Sus scrofa: one gene and its partner. The protein of the gene in region 1 binds, or shares a complex with, the protein of each later gene. Links are inferred from orthologs where the notes say so. Each region holds a gene or a part of one and is shown in the gene's direction. Other genes may lie near its edges. The genes, in order: AP3D1 and AP3M1.

Region 1 (8,449 bases):
GCCCAGGAGGTCACCCAGCTCCTGGTGGAACGGCTGCCCCAGTTTGTGCAGAGCGCAGACCTGGAGGTCCAGGAGCGGGTGGGTGGTGGCTCTTCCTTTCCCAGAAAACAACTCCACCTTGGCCAGGCGATGCGCAGTTGTGGGACCACCCTGTGGGAGTCCTGGACGGTCACCCACAGGGGGACTCTAGTGAGAGCTGGGGTGGCAGGAGATGGTGAGAGATGACGTCAGAGTATGTGGTCGGCTAGAGTCGGTGGTCCATTGGCCCCAGAGGGAAGTGTCAGAGGCAACAATGGATTTCTGGTGGCTGGTGGCCAGGTGGGTAGAAGAAGCTGGTCTGTAGAGAACTTTAGGTGGTGACGTGGTCATCAGCGACCTGGTAGTCTCCTCCTCGCACCCTGGTGACACAGGCTTCTCAGTTACCGAGAGCCCCTGGGTCAAGTGCATCTTGGTACCTCCTGGAGGCGAGTCTTCAGGCTGATGGCCGTGTGTGGCAGACCTTTCTCCACCCCTGGACCCTCGGCTTGCTTGTTTTATGCCTCCTAAAGAAGACAGTAGCCAAGCTGGCCTCTCCTGGTGGGGCCCCATGGCCAGTGGCTTCTCACAGAGACTTCAGGACCTTGGTGGGGCTCCAGCAACAGCTGGGCGTCTGTGTGGTCTGAGTGATGCCCCATGGCAGCTGAGTCAGGCCTCCCTGACTCCTGTCTTCTCTCCGTGGCCCCCACAGGCATCCTGCATCTTGCAGCTGGTCAAGCACGTGCAGAAGCTTCAGGCCAAGGACATGCCGGTGGCAGAAGAAGTGAGTGCTCTCTTTGCTGGGGAGCTGAACCCAGTGGCTCCGAAGGCACAGAAGAAGGTCCCGGTCCCTGAAGGGTGAGCCATGTGGCCCGTCAGGGGACACAGAGCGGGCAGCAAGAGGGCCAATGGAACCAGAACTACACCCTGGACCTGCTCTCCAGCCAGGAGAGGAGCGGGAGGGTTGAGGACGGCCCCAGAGGCCTGAGCCCCTGTGGGCAGGACACAGGCCGTGTGGGGTCCTCGCCAGCTCCCCTGGAACCTGTTGTCCCCATCTCTGGTGTCATCCCTAGGAAGCAGGTCTGCTGGCGACCCTCAGGGGGTGCAGGGTCTCTGATTGGCTTGGCCTACTCTGGTCTTGGGCAGCTGCCCAGCCTCCCTGTCCTTTCTCCAAGGGGACGGCAGTATCCGGGGCCAGGCGTGCAGGCCGGAGCCACCGTGTGACCTCACTGTGTCCTGCAGCCTGGACCTGGATGCCTGGATCAACGAGCCACTCTCGGACAGTGAGTCTGAGGATGAGAAGCCCAAGGCCATCTTTCAGGACGAGGAGCAGCGGCATGCGAAGCAGCGGCCGCCTGAGGCAGATGAGCAGGAACTGGCCCGGGTGAGCGCCCAGTCACGTCTGGGCTATGTCCCGCTGTCCTGTGCCAGCACTGAGCCCACCTTTGACATGGGACTGGATTTTGTTGAAGTGAGGGTGGTTTCTCAAGCCAGGCCTTCCCCAGGGAGAGTTGTGGGGCCTGACCTCACTCAGGACCTGTGGTGCCCAGGGATGCTGCCCCACCAGGCCTCCTCCCTGCTCCTGCCCCTACCCCAGGCTCTGTCCCTGAGTGGGTAGCCTCAGGCAGCTCTGCCAGCCTCTCTGACCCCAGTCTTGAACCCTCTGGGTTGTTGTGCTTTCCACCCGTCTCCATACCTGCTCCTGCCCACCGCCGGCCTCGGTCTCCTCTGGGTCAAAGGCCAACAGTGAAAGGAACTGGGGATCCTGGGTCTGGTGCGAGGAGGTGGCCTGCGCCTGGGAGGACACGAGGGCTTCACACACCCACTGATGTACATGCTGGACCCTGTCCCCACAGCGCCGGGAGGCCCGGAAGCAGGAGCAGGCCAACAACCCCTTTTACATCAAGAGCTCCCCGTCCCCCCAAAAGGTGAGGCATGCCTGTCCTTAAGGGATGGTCCCCTGGTGTGCTGGGCTGTTGGCAGGTCCCCAGACAGGACTGGAAGGGGCTCTTGATCCCGAGCCCCACAAGTGGATCTTTGGCTAGGCTTCTCAGCTGGGTGTGCAGGGCTGCAGATGTGGTGCCTCAGCGGGAGGGAGTGGACACCAGAGGACATGGGTCCTGCCTGGTGCCTCTGTCTTCATCCATACCCCACCTAGCAGAGCCCCAGGGAGACAGGCTCCACATGGCGGCTGCTGGGCTGTTTCCCTGCTTTTGGGATTTTGGGATCACTGGATGACTCTGCTCACTTCTCTGAGGGGCTCCAGCCTGTCCCCCCCGAACCTGCCTGTGGGCCCTGCTGATTCCAGCCATCCTGGGGGCAGGAGGTACCACATTATCCTGGTTCCAAGCCTGCACTACTTTGCTTTTCTCTTCTCTTCTCTCCTCTCCTCTCCTCTCCACTCCCTCTCCTCTCCCTCTCCTCTCCCTCTCCTCGTCATTTCTTGGGCCGCTCCAGCGGCATATGGAGGTTCCCAGGCTAGGGGTCGAATCGGAGCTGTAGCTGCCAGCCTACGCCGGAGCCACAGCAACGCGGGATCCGAGCCACGTCTGCAACCTACACCACAGCTCACGGCAACGCTGAATCGTTAAGCCACTGAGCAAGGGCAGGGATCGAACCCGCAACCTCATGGTGCCTAGTCGGATTCGTTAACCACTGCGCCGTGACGGGAACTCCTGCACTACTTTTCTAATTTGGGAGGAAAAGATTCTAATGAACAAAATTACTGAGTGTTGGATTCTACGCTGTACATTATGTTTATGCCAACTCCCCACCCCCATCTCTGTGACTCTGTTGCTTTGGGCCGCTGCCCTGCCCAGTGACGGGTGCCTTGCTATCTCCTCTCCAGCGATACCAGGATGCACCGGGTGTGGACCACATTCCTGTGGTGCAAATTGACCTCTCAGTGCCCTTGAAAGTGCCAGGCAAGTATCTATAGGGACCTGCACTCCCACTGTCTCAGCACCTGGCCTCCACCTTATCCCAATAGAGAGAGGCCATGTGCCGTGCTAACCTCTGTTCATGTCCCAGCAGCTAGAGGGCAGTGCCCATGCATCCTCTTGCAACCCTAGGCATGGTGCTCAGGGTGGCCGTGGCCTGGGCCCAGGACCGAGCACTGAGTATGCATTGTTTGCAGGGATGCCCATGTCGGACCAGTACGTGAAGCTGGAGGAGGAGCGGCGCCATCAGCAGCGGCTGGAGAAGGACAAGAGGAAGAAGAAGAGGAGGGAGCGGGAGAGGCGGGGCACACGGCGCCATAGCTCATTGCACACAGAGAGCGATGAGGACATCGCACCTGCCCAGCGCGTGGACATCGTCACTGAGGAGATGCCTGAGGTCAGTGGCCCTCCCCGTGGGGGCCCACCCGTTGCTGTTGTCCCTGTCGTGGGGAGGGCCTCAACCAGCTCTGTCCAGTGAGCTCTGAGCAGGCGGCCCCCAGGCTTCTGCTTAATGACAGGTGTCTCGGCCTGAGTGCCAGGCCCAGGTCAGACGCCCTTGCGAGTGTGGACCTGGTGGTCTCTTTCCTAGAAGAGTGTGGGGGTGCTTCCTTAGACCCTTAAGGCTCGGCAGGGTCGGGGGGATAGGGCGAGGCAAACCTGACCCAGCATTTCCGTCCTCCCTCAGAACGCCCTGCCCAGCGACGAGGATGACAAAGACCCAAACGACCCCTACAGGGCCCTAGACATCGACTTGGACAAGTGAGTGCTGGACATAACTCAGACTCTCCTTGTCCCATGGGAGCAGAGGGGTGGCTAGGGTACCCCTCCCCCAGCCTCATCCCAGGCCAAGTCTCCTGTGACCATCCAGGCCCCTAGCTGACAGCGAGAAGCTGCCTGTGCAGAAACACAGAAATGCTGAGACCCCCAAGTCCCCTGAGAAAGAGGACATCCCCGTCATAGAAAAAAAGAGCAAGAAACCCAAAAAGAAGGAGAAGAAGCACAAGGAGAAGGAGCGAGAGAAGAAGAAGAAGAGAAAGGAAGCAGAGAAGGTGAGGCCCTGGTGCAATGGGCAGTCCCAAGGACCCAGCTCCCTCCCATCAGTGGGCCGTGGGGTCGGGTGCTTTCATAGAAGCATCAAATGTAGGTCATGTTGCTTGGCTCAAGGCGGCACAGTTCCTCCAGGCCTGACCGGGTTGTCCTGTGCTCTGGCCAAAGGCCACCTTCCTTTGGTTTCAGGGTGAGGACTTGGACTTCTGGTTGTCCACCACTCCACCTGTTGCAGCCCCAGCCCCGGTAAGAGCCTGATGGCGACCTGTACCAAGGTGCTCCTTGGCCAGACACGTGTGCTCTTCGGCCTTGGAGGCTGCCTCTTAGAAACATTGGGGTGCTCCCTGCTCCCTTGGTGCCCTGCCTGGCCCTTCCCCTTCATCACCCACAGCCCTTCTGGCCTCTTGCACCCCGGCTACAAAGGGATACGTGGGGACCCTAAGGCACACAGACAACTTTGGGCCAGCTCGGTCCTGTTCCCGGCGTCTTACCCTGACAGTGGCTGTGTGACACTGCTCGGTGTAGAGCCCGGACCCCCAGAGCCAGGCAGCAGCTCTGAACAGCTGCATTATGTTGCCGGCTGGAGCCTGGTGCCTCTGGGGTCTCATGCAGGGTTGCTGGCCAGTGCCAGCGAGCCTCAAGCCAGGCGTCCTCTCCCCTCAGCTGGCCACTGGCTCAGATCAAGGCCCCACACCTGCGTCCTTACAACACACCTAGCCTGCCAAGGGAGGCTCCTCATGGCCGGGTGTCCCTGGAAGGCGGGTGGGTCAGGGCAGAGGGAGCTGCCTTTTGAGCCTCTCACTTGGCTTCCTACAGGAAGAGCCCAGGGTGAATGCTGCAGCCACTGCCCCTGAGGAGGGGCTTGAGGAGCCCAGGGAAGAGGTGCAGGATGCTGACGAGGACGAGCACCAGGAGCCTGAAAAGGTACGAGAGCCAGGCAAGAGGTGCTTACTGCTGCCCACATCCCACCAGTGGTTTCTCATTGCCGTGGCTATGGGGCTCTGACCCACAACAGCACTATTGAGCTGTAACTCGTCCACAGTGAACTATTCATGGTTCTGCTGCCACCGCCTCTAATTCCAGAACGTCCCATCACTGCTAAAGGGAATCCATTTCTGTCATCAGCCCTACCCCCATTCCTCTTTTCTGACAACCACTAACCCCCCCTTTGTCTCTGTGGATGTGCCTGTTCTGGATGTTTCCCATCTATGGAATCCCACACTGTGTGTCCTTCTGTGTCTGCTGCTCTGACTGAGCATCGTGGTCTCTGGGTCCGTCCATGTGGTAGCAAGTATCGGGGCTTCTTTCCTTTTCATGGCTGAGTGATGCTCCATGTGTGGAGGGACTGCACGGTGTTTGTCACCTTTTGGTGGACACTGGGTGGTGCCCAGCTTTTGGCTGCTGTGAGTCATGCTGATGTGAGTGTCTGAGTGTGTGTGGGGCGGGGGTGGTGGGGGAGACACTGAGGAGTTCTGTGGTTGCTGGGCCATCACGTCTGCACTCTCCCTGGTTTTCCTCATGCATTTTACCCAGCAGCAACGACTATCCAGCCCAGCAGTGAGTTCCCGGGTCCTCGTGGTGGCCCTTCCCTGCAGCCCTGGGGATTGCTGGCCTGCTCACCCTGATGTGTGGGCCCTTTACCTTAGCATGCTTGGTCCCCACAATATGAGATTCGATCACCACTGTGGTACCCACGTGAGTGTGGGATTGACCTGAACTATTTCTGTTTAGAAAACTTCCAAGGAGAAGAAGAAGAAACACAAGAAGGACAAGGAGGAGAGGCCCAAAGACAAGAAGAAATCCAAAAAGAAGACACCTCCAAGGGAAGGAGTGGCTGAGCCCGTGGAGAACGGCGCACTAGATGAGGAGCCCCTCCCGGTGAGGGTGCCACTGGCGCCTGCCTGGTCCTCCCCAGACAGCCCTGACAGTGTCAGGAGCCCCAAGGTGTGGGCTCATGCTGTCCAGGACCCGCTCCATTGGGCCTAGCATTTCCTGCGGGAGCACCTGGAAGCTTACACCTGGCCCCACCCTCAGCAGACATCACGCTCAGGTTCTTGGCACCCAAAGCTGACACGTTTTTCTCTTATTCCCAGCCCATGTCTAGCTACTGCCTCTTGGCTGAAAATTCGTACATCAAAATGGTGAGTGAGAAGTGTGTTTCAGAGAGCATGGTCCACGGAAGGCTCGGGGGGGTCCTTTCTCTGTGAGGGTGTGTGGAGGCAGAGCCGTGCATCGGGAATAGCTAAAATCTGTGTACATATCTGAAACTCAGTGTCCTTGAGTGAGGGTCCAGAACGTTCCTTCCTTTGCATACTTGTGCTCACACTTTTGGGCCTTCATCCAGGCCCAGAGGGGCCCCTGGTGGGCTCCCTGCACTGCTGACCTTGCCTTGCTCTGTGCAGACATACGATGTGCAGGGCAGCCTGCAGAAGGACAGCCAGGTCACCGTGTCCGTGGTCCTGGAGAACCAGAGCAGCAGCTTCCTCAAGAGTATGGAACTCAACGTGCTGGACTCACTCAACGCCCGGCTGGCCCGGCCAGAGGGCTCCTCAGTCCATGATGGTGTCCCTGTGCCTTTCCAGCTGCCCCCTGGTGAGTGGCCCCAGGACTGGCCATCACTGAGGGCAGACCCTGGGTTGTGGGGTACCTGCCACCTGCTGGGATAGCCACACACACGCTCCCAGGCTGCACCCTGCGCTGCTTTTCAGGCCCCTCTCACCCTCACTAGGCATCTCCAACGAAGCCCAGTTTGTGTTCACCATTCAGAGCATCGTCATGGCGCAGAAGCTCAAGGGGACACTATCCTTCATTGCCAAGGTACGGGGAAGCAAGGCAGCAGTGGGGCCGCCAGCTGAGAGAACCCCTACTCTGGAGCCATGCCCACACTCACCCTGCATCCCTACTCCAACAGAATGACGAAGGCTCCACCCATGAGAAGCTCGACTTCAAGCTGCACTTCACCTGCACCTCCTACTTGGTCACCACACCTTGCTACAGGTATGCCCCCTTCCATGCTGTGCCAGGCTCTGGGTGCAATCACCTCAGCCATGCTCTCTGATTTAAGGTGTGAGAGTGCACGGACTGTCGGGTGACCGGTTTATGGTGAGCACAAAAAGCCCAGCATATCTGCTGTGCCGGCCAGCTCAGCTGCATAACACTGAGCGCAGGTCCTGTGGTCCAAGCACAGGTATTGGTTTCCTCCCAGTGCTGCAGGCTGAGACCAGTGATGGCAGAAGTGGGTCATCCTGAGGCCATCCTGTTTGGAGTGCAGACGGTCACGTGTCTTGTTCTCACAGGGACCCCAGTCTCAAATGCAGTTGCATTCTGACGTCCTGGGGGTCTGGGCTTCAACATAGGAGTTTCGGGGACATAGTCCAGCTCTTGATTTCTCACAGCACCCTTGGAGACCCTAAGCCACAGGCACACACCAAGGCCCCCTGTTTTTACTGTCCCGTTCCGTCCCTTTCCCACAGTGATGCCTTTGCCAAGTTGTTGGAGTCTGGGGACCTGAGCATGAGCTCAATCAAGGTTGATGGCATTAGTATGTCCTTCCAGAACCTTCTGGCAAAGATCTGTTTTCATCACCGTTTTTCCGGTAAGGGATTGGACATGGCTGATAGATGGCTCTGCTTTTCTACACATGTGACTCCTCCCCACCCCAGGGCTGGCCCAGCCTCACCCCTTGCCCTCTGTTGTAGTTGTGGAACGAGTGGATTCCTGCGCCTCCATGTACAGCCGCTCCATCCAGGGACACCACGTCTGCCTCCTGGTGAAGAAGGTGAGCCCTCAGGAAGGTCCCACCCAGCCTTTCCACTCCTCAGCACTGTGCCTTTGCAGCTTTGAGCCCTGTTCAGGAGGATGTTGGCCTATCCTGCGCTCCTCTGGCCTTGGCACTGGGACCTCACCAACTAAGTGGGGAGGCATTCCTTCCTCTAGCCTTTTGTAGAAGAGGTGGCGTGTAGTCAGTGTACATCTTCTTGCATGTTATGTAGAATTCACCAAGGAAATCAGGTCAGGGGCCTTCTTTTTTGAAAGGTTTTTATCTACAACTTCAACTTCTTAAAATTGCAGGAATTCTTTTTTTTTTTTTCTTTTGTCCTTTTGTCTTTTTGCCACTTCTTGGGCCACTCCTGCCGCATATGGAGGTTCCCAGGCTAGGGGTCGAATTGGAGCTGCAGCCACCAACCTATACCAGAGCCACAGCAATGCAGGATCCAAGCTGCGTCTGCAACTTATACCACAGCTCACGGCAACGCCAGATCCTTAACCCACTGAGCAAGGCCAGGGATCGAACCCGCAACCTCATGGTTCCTAGTCAGATTCATTAACCACTGAGCCATGACGGGAACTCCAAAATTGTAGGAATTCTTAATTTATCTGTTTTTTCTTGTATGAGTCGTGGTAGTTTGTGGTTTTCAAGATGTGGTCCATTTCATCCTAGTTACAGA
Region 2 (8,449 bases), on another chromosome or scaffold:
GTGTGATCTCTCTTAAATCTATGAATTGGACTGCATAAATCTGCGTAAAACATAAAAAATGACTTTACATTGCACTGAAAGTAAAATGAACCAATCTCTGCTTATCTCCCCCAGCCTTATCACTTCCATCCACTTTCTGAAGTTGCTAAATTTGTACTGGATTTCTTTGTCTTCTGTTCTTATTCCAAAGCCTTGCTGATTTCTATGGCACATTATATTTTCCCTGTCATAACAGGAATTACATCTTACTGTATTAAATTGTTTGCCTTCTTTGATGAACTCTAAATTCTTTGAGTTAGAGATTCTATTTGGTTCATTTTGTATCTCTATTGTTTATTATATAAAACACTCAAAACTGTTTGTTGGATGAATAATGGTCAAAATACTGGTTAAAAATCAGAGGAGCTGGAGTTCCTTCCCGTCGTGGCTCAGTGGTTAACAAATCCAACTAGGAACCATGAGGTTTCGGGTTCGATCCCTGACCTTGCTCAGTGGGTTAAGGATCCGGCGTTGCTGTGAGCTGTGGTGTAGGCCACAGATGCAGCTCAGATCCCAAGTTGCTGTGGCTCTGGTGTAGGCTGGCAGCTACAGCTCCAATTCGACCCCTAGCCTGGGAACCTCCATATGCCGCAGGGGGGAAAAAAAATGACAAAAAAAAAAAAAAAATCGGAGGACCTGGAGTTATCTTGTGGCCTAGCAGATTTAATGGATCTGGCCTTGTCACTGCTGTGGCTCAAGTCACCACTGTGCAAGGGTTTGAGCCCTCGCCTGGGAACTTCCCCATTGCCACAGACATAGCCAAAAATAAGTAAATCAGAGGAACTAGATTATTTTCTAGTCTCATTCTCTCACCTTAGAAATATAGCCCTTCTATGCCTCCATTCTGTTATATATAGAAGGAATACATTTTCTTTTTTTAGACACTGTCTCCTAAGGATATTTTGACTGCTGTAATTGCATTGCTTGTAAATCATCAGGTTAAGTGTGTTCAGCATTTGATACAGAGGTTTTATGAAGTGTTTAAGCTGCAGTCAAAGCTCTAATGGAACTGCCTTTAAACAGTTTCTTAAGTGGTTTTAAAATAAGCTGGGAGAATTCTATTTTCTACCTCAAATGTCTTCTAGGACAAAAAGATGGTTGTGGTGTTGGTATATGTGTAGCTTTCTCAGAAAGTTTATTAAAATAATGAAAGAAATAACTGCAGCTACTCAAAGGTAAGTAGCCAAAGAAACAGGCTAATTTACACTGCTGCAAGTGGTACTTGCTTTTTGCATTACACCTTTGGTCATCATATGGATAGAAGACATAAGCTCTCTTTTCCTATTTTATTGTATTATTATAACTATTTTGTATGTGTGTCTTTTTCTAGGGCCGTACCCACGGCATATGGAGGTTCCCAGGCTAAGAGTCCAATCAGAGCTGTAGCCACCAGCCTGTGCTGCAGCCACAGCAACGAAGGATCTGAGCCATGTCTGTGACCTACACCACAGCTCACAGCAACACCGGATCCTTAACACCCACTGAGTGAGGCCAGGGATCAAACCCACAACCTCATGGTTCCTAGTGGGATTCGTTAGCCACTGAGCCACGATGGGAACTCCTCTTTTCCTATTTTAAAGGGAGGCACTGTTGATAACTATCAGTGCTCTGCTTTTATCTCAGCACTAGGGACAACATCAGTAAATCTAGATGGTGAGTTTAATTTACTCTATATAACTGAGACCTGAACTACTACCAGTGAAAACAACTTTGGTGGAAACTTTTCCTAGAAAGAATTTTTCACTAGCTTAAGAGGTTGAGGAGTTCACGTCGTGGTGCAGTGGTTAATGAATCTGACTAGGAACCATGAGTATGCAGGTTCGATCCCTGGCCTTGCTCAGTGGGTTAAGGATCCAGCGTTGCCATGAGCTGTGGTGTAGGTCACAGACACGGCTCAGATCCCACATTGCTGTGGCTGTGGCGTAGACTGGCAGCTGCAGCTCCAATTAAACCCCTAGCCTGGGAACTTCCATATGCTGCGGGAGCGGCCCTAGGGGAAAAAAAAAAAAAAGGCAAAAAGACAAAAAAAAAAGAGATTGAGTAGGAATCTGGCCTCTCCAATAAGAAACTGAAGTCACTCACTTTGAGAATAGGCAGCTCTCTTAGAGTGTATTGTGGCAGTGAGTACCATGGATCCGTGCAGGCTATACTTTCTTTAGGATAAATAGTTTAAGAAGATAACCTATGTCAGCTCTCTTAAGTACAGATTTCTGCTCTAAATAATTTAGAACACATTTTCACTTCTACTTAAATAAGCATATTCTTTAACCCCTCTTAAATTATAATTCGCATTTGCTGCCCAGTCTAATAATGACGACCACTAGCTCTGTGTCGTTATTTAATTTTAGCCGCATTTCAAGTGCTCATGTCTGATTAGTAGCTGCTGTATTGAACAGCACAGATAAAGGATATGTCCATCATTGCAGGAAATCCGACTGGACACTGCTGCATTAGTGTTTCCTAATAGTTTCTAAGAGACAGGTAAGAACAAGAGCTCAAGATTCAGCTGGATCTAAGTTTAAATCCTAGTTCTGATACTTCCTGTATGATCTGAGAGAAGTAACATAACATTTCCAAGACGTTATTGTCTTTTCTGTAAAATGGGGATAAGAGCAGTACTTGTGGCATTGAGTCGTGAGGATTAAATAAAATAATGTAAGTAAAGCGCCTAGGATATGTCTGGCTCCACAATAAGTATGCAATCTTAGGTATTATTAATTTGTTTATCTTTAATAAATAAAACATTTTGAATAAAGCTGAAAGTTAATTATCACAAAGGATGCCATATTCTATAGCTGTCTCATCTGAAATGCTCAAATCTGGGTCTCATTGAGTTGATGACAAAGTTCCACTTTAAGCCATACTTTATATTTGAGATGAAAATTTTATTCCAAGAAAAAGCATCATAATGCAAGTTCAGTTGCAGATCTTATTGCTGGATACTCCTGTTCTGTTTTTTAGACATGTATCAGAAATTCCTGCTGTGGCACAGCAAGATCAGCACATCTCTGGAGCCCTAGGATGCAGGTTTGATCCCTAGCCCAGGTCAGTGGGTTAAGGATCTGGCATTAATGTAGTTGCAGCATAGGCCACAACTGCAGCTTAGATCTGATCCCTGGCCCCTTGGCATATGGAACTCCATATGCCAAGGGGCAGCCAAAAAGGGGGAAAAAAAATTTAATAAATAAAAATAGTGTATCAGAGAGCAGAGGTGATAATTAAAAGTCAGTCGGTTCTGGGAGTTCCTGCTGTGGCGCAGTGGGTTAAGGATTTGATCCCTGCCCAATACAACACAGTACCTTACATCAAGTTTTGAAATCAGGAAGTGCTAGTCTTCCAGTTTTGTTCTTCTTTTTCAAGATCAATTCGGTTGTTCTTGGTCTCTTTAATCTCCATAAAAATTTCAGGGTCAGCCTTTCAGTTTCCATTTTGAAAAGGCATCTGATATTCTAATAGAGATTGCAGTAAATCTGTAGGTCAATTTGGGGAGTATAGTCATCTTAGCATATTAAGTCTTCCAATCTATAAACATGAAATGTCTTTCCATTTTTTTTAGTTCTTTTTAATGTCTTTCAGTGATCTGTAGAATTCCATATACAGGTCTTAGATTTCTGTTAATTTAATCCTAAGTATTTTGATCTTCTTTTGGATGCTTTTGTAAGTAGAATTGTTTTCTCAGTTTCAGTATCAGAGTAGTTATTGCTAATATGTAGAAATATAATTGGTTTTTTATATTAGTCTTATATCAAGCAATCTTGATGAATGCACTTATTGCTCTCAGTAGTTTTTGTGTGGGAATTCCCATCATGGCTCAGTGGGTTATGAACCTGACTAGTATCCATGAGGACGTGCGTTCAATCCCTGGCCTTGCTCAGTGGGTCAAGGATCCGGCATTGCTGTGCGCTGTGCTGTAGGTCACAGATGTGGCTCAGATCCCATGTTGCTATAGCTATGGTGTAGGCTGGCAACTACAGCCCCAATTCAACCCCTAGCCTGGGAACTTCCATATGATGCAGGTGCAGACCTTAAGGAAAAAAAATGGTTTGTGTGTGTAAGTGTATTCCTTAGAATTTTCTGTATACAAGATAACATCATCTGCAAATAGAGATAGTTTTGCTTCTTGTCCAATTTGGAAGCCTTCTGTTTCATTTTCTTGCTTAATTATCCTGTCTAGACCCTACCATGTTCAGCATTTTCAAAGTGCTGAAAATGGACATTATTGTTTGTTCTTGATATTAAGGGGAAAGCTTTTGGTTGTTTCACAGAGGTTCTTTATCAGGTTGAGGAAATTTATCTTCCTAGTTTAAATGTTTTTGTCCTATAAAATTTATCAAATGATTTTTCTTGCACCTTTTTAAATAATTATATTTTTGTCTTTTATGAATACTGTGTATTATGTTGATTGAACTAACCTTGCATTCTTAAATAAATCATGTTACTTGATTGAGTTTGCTAGTATTTTGCTGAGGATTTTTGCGTTTATATTTTTAAGTGATATTTGTTTGTAGTTTCTTGTATTGCTTTTGTGTGTTTTTGTTTGTTTTTTCGAAACATTCTTTTATTTTATTTTTTTGTCTTTTTGCCTTTTCTAGGGCTGCTCTCATGGCATATGGAGGTTCCCAGGCCAGGGGTCGAATCGGAGCTGTAGCCACCGGCCTACACTACAGCCACAGCAACGCAGGATCTGAGCTGCGTCTGCAACCCACACCACAGCTCACCGCAACGCCAGATCCTTAACCCACTGAGCGAGGCCAGGGATCGAACCCACAACCTCATGGTTCCTATTCGGATCCGCCAACCACTGTGCCACGACGGGAACTTCTGTGTGGTTTTGCTATCAGGTTAATATAAGGATACTTTTTTTGATGTATACTAAATTTAAACTTTTTTTCCCTCCCAGAAAATGATCCACAGTCTATTTCTCATAAACTGTTCCGGTGACATATTTCTGGAGAAGCACTGGAAGAGCGTTGTGAGCCAGTCTGTCTGTGATTATTTCTTTGAAGCTCAAGAGAAAGCTGCTGATGTTGAAAATGTACCTCCTGTTATTTCAACACCTCACCACTACCTCATCAGTATATACCGGGATAAGCTCTTCTTTGTCTCTGTCATACAGACTGAAGTGCCACCTCTCTTTGTAATTGAGTTCCTACATCGAGTTGCTGACACTTTTCAGGTTGGTTATTCATCAAATCTTTTGAATTTAAATTATCCAAGTTTGATGAAGGTGGAACACGGTTATATTCTTTAATTACCCAGCTTTTGATGTGTAATCTCTCTGTCTCTCCCTGTTCTTTTCACCTAAGCTTAAGCTCATAAACATAAACCTTTTTTATAGGGTATACAGTAGTATACATAGCTTCTCAGTTAAAATTTTAGGAGAACAGAACAATCTCATAGTCATGGAAACTGTATTTTTTTAATGTATTATGGATTATGCCATCAGGAAATAATAGTGCCCTCCACGTACAGTTCTCTGAATGGTCCCAAGAATTTTTTTGGTTATGAAACCTTCCATTGCTTAACATTATTTTTTTTTCTTGGCCTCCTGAATATACCAATAATTGAAAACTTATCGGAGTTCCCGTCGTGGTGCAGTGGTTAACGAATCCGACTAGGAACCATGAGGTTGCGGGTTCGATCCCTGCCCTTGCTCAGTGGGTTAACGATCCGGCGTTGCTGTGAGCTGTGGTGTAGGTTGCAGATGCGGCTCGGACCCCGCGTTGCTGTGGCTGTGGCGTAGGCCAGTGGCTACAGCTCCGATTCAACCCCTAGCCTGGGAACCTCCATATGCCGCGGGAGTGGCCCAAGAAATAGCAACAACAACAACAACAAGACAAAAAAAAAAAAAAAAAAAGAAAACTTATCCATGTTTCTTGGAGTACATGATCAGGACAAATGAAGTTTATAGTTCACATTCTGTTTTAACATTTCAGTGTATTTTCTGACGTAATACTTAGTAGGAATCCAATTCAATCTAAAAACATTAAGGAGGAGTTCTTGCTGTGGTCAACAGGATCAGCGACATCTCTCAAGCACTGGCACACAGGTTCAGTCCCTGGCCCAGCACAGTGGGTTAAGGATCTGGTGTTGCTGCAGCATAGGTGACAACTGAGGCTCAGATCTGATCTCTGGTCCAGGAACTCCTAATGTCGTGGGGCAGCCAAAAACAATAGTAATAATAAGGAAATTTTGAAGAATAGTATATAGAACTCTAGAGGGTTTTTTCACCCTCTGTTTACATATTTTCGACATCTTAAACAATGATTTGTGCTACTTTAAGTTTACCCTTTAGAACACAGAAAGTATTTAGCAAGCCTTTCTTCATGTCTTCTATTGTGCAATATTATGTACCTTTTGTTAGGACTACTTTGGTGAGTGTTCAGAGGCTGCAATTAAGGATAATGTGGTCATAGTATATGAGCTCTTGGAAGAAATGCTAGACAATGGATTTCCACTGGCTACGGAGTCTAACATTTTGAAAGAATTGATTAAACCACCAACAATTCTACGTTCTGTTGTCAACTCTATTACAGGTAAGTGAAATGCACTCTAATAAGAACTGAGCAATTGAAACTTCATAAACATTCATTTTTGTTTATTTGATCTGGCAGATTCTTAAGGTAGTCCGTTTTGGCCGGATTTGAAGTTAGTGATAATGTTAAAATAGATGTATATTTCTTTTCATGAAAAGAGGCTTGATTTTAAATGATAAAGAACTTTTGCTTGTTACTCTTGTATTACAGGTTTTTCTGTAAGACTACAACAATATTATTACTATATTTAACACTAAATAGTAAGAATGACTAAATTATCCACTTAAAGAGAAACCAATATAGTGATGACTGTTAACTAAATTTATCATGGTAATCATTTTGTAATATATACCTATATCAAATCATTATGTTGTATACCTTAAAATAATAGTGTTATATGTCAATTGTATCTCAATAAAACTAGAAAAAAATAGAGTTCCCTGGTGGCTTGGTTGGTTAAGGGTCTAGCATTGTCACTGCTGTGGCTCAGGTTGCTGTTGTACGACTGGTTCAGTCCCTGGCCCAAGAACTTTCATATGCTGCAGGTACAACCAAAAAAAAAAAAAAAATAGAAAAAATAAAACTGTAATCCATGAGGACACACGTTTGATCCCTGGCCTTGCTTATTGGGTTAGGGATCCAGCATTGCCTTGACCTGTGGTGTAGATTACAGATGCAGCTCAGATCTGGTGATTCAGCCCCTAGCCTGGGAACCTCCATATGCCCTGGATGTGGCTCTAAAAAGACAAAAATAAAATTAAATAAAATAATGAAACTGTAGCCAATATGAGGCTACCTAGAAAAGCATTTAATTTATATATAGACTAGCATTTTAATATTTAAAATAGCATTATTTTATAAATATACCAAGTCAGTACATTGTACACCTTAAACTTACTGCAATATTATGTGTCAGCTATATCCCAATAAAGCTGGAGAAAAGATACAACTTTTAAAAATATCATTATAAAACTGGCATTATGCTGGGTACCCACAGCTACTAGAGTATAGACAATTTTAAGACTATACCATAGAGTACATACTATCTCTTCCAAGTCTTTATAAATAAAGAAGATGTATTAAAAAGAGAAAGAAAATTAGCCTATTTGTCTTCCTGCATTATGGGCCTTGAACTTGTGTTACAAACTTCTAATTTTGATTTAATTCTTGAGTATAGCTAGATATTAGGTACATCCAGATGACAATATACTTTTGAAAGTATCAAAGTCTTCTAAACAAAGATTTCTATGAAATGTTATATGCCATTCCAGCTGTGCTACCCACCATTATAAATCCCTTTTCAAGGACTCGGAAAGTCCTTGAAAAGCACTAACATAAAAAAATTGGCTGAGAGAAGCCTATAAGGAAGTGATCATTCATTCCTTTTTTTCATCCTCTATGCAAGACTGGGTGTCAGGAGAAATTTAAGAAAAGATAAGATAGATTGTCTGTGCTCCTAAAACTTGAACTTTGGGTGGGAATCTAGAAAAATTGAAACATACAAATTAACAGTATAAGATTTTGAAAAGCAATTCTTTACTTTATAAGCAATATAGTGACACTGGAGGGTACACATGATATAATATTTAATGAAAAAAAAGCACAAAACCATAAAAAGATACTCTTAATAATACATAAATACACACACAGAAAAGTTCTAAAGTTTATGATATCTCCAGCTAAGGACCTATATATTATCCTTATTTTTGCTTTATACTTTCTGGTTTCTAAAATGAACATGTATTTTTATACTTGGGAGAAAAAAAAGTTACTGAAATACAGAATTAAAAAATAACATGGGAGTTCCCATCCTAGCTCAGCAGTAACAAACCCAACTAGTATCCATGAGGATGCAGATTTGATCCCTGGCCTCT

What was found.
Region 2: the proteins of AP3D1 (region 1) and AP3M1 are in contact, whole or in part, in a cryo-EM structure (PDB 9C5C), measured with the Homo sapiens proteins. The link is inferred for Sus scrofa from reciprocal best matches to the Homo sapiens genes AP3D1 and AP3M1. Residues at the interface, in NP_003929.4 of Homo sapiens: Lys29, Glu388, Gly389, Thr390, Thr391, Arg393, Glu429, Arg432; in NP_001307192.1 of Homo sapiens: Ser25, Ser27, Asp30, Tyr31, Glu34, Pro52, Asp104.

What each region holds. Positions count from the first base shown.
Region 1 is NC_010444.4:76,457,043-76,465,491, forward strand, and holds part of AP3D1 (AP-3 complex subunit delta-1), read left to right. Parts: coding exon 1-78; intron 79-727; coding exon 728-873; intron 874-1,257; coding exon 1,258-1,399; intron 1,400-1,871; coding exon 1,872-1,943; intron 1,944-2,863; coding exon 2,864-2,939; intron 2,940-3,151; coding exon 3,152-3,351; intron 3,352-3,639; coding exon 3,640-3,713; intron 3,714-3,822; coding exon 3,823-4,003; intron 4,004-4,169; coding exon 4,170-4,247; intron 4,248-4,817; coding exon 4,818-4,925; intron 4,926-5,732; coding exon 5,733-5,879; intron 5,880-6,094; coding exon 6,095-6,142; intron 6,143-6,403; coding exon 6,404-6,593; intron 6,594-6,729; coding exon 6,730-6,818; intron 6,819-6,912; coding exon 6,913-6,998; intron 6,999-7,474; coding exon 7,475-7,596; intron 7,597-7,699; coding exon 7,700-7,779; intron 7,780-8,449. UniProt on the Homo sapiens protein: Part of the AP-3 complex, an adaptor-related complex which is not clathrin-associated. The complex is associated with the Golgi region as well as more peripheral structures.
Region 2 is NC_010456.5:76,824,007-76,832,455, reverse strand, and holds part of AP3M1 (AP-3 complex subunit mu-1), read left to right. Parts: intron 1-4,939; 5' UTR 4,940-4,942; coding exon 4,943-5,215; intron 5,216-6,403; coding exon 6,404-6,575; intron 6,576-8,449. UniProt on the Homo sapiens protein: Part of the AP-3 complex, an adaptor-related complex which is not clathrin-associated. The complex is associated with the Golgi region as well as more peripheral structures.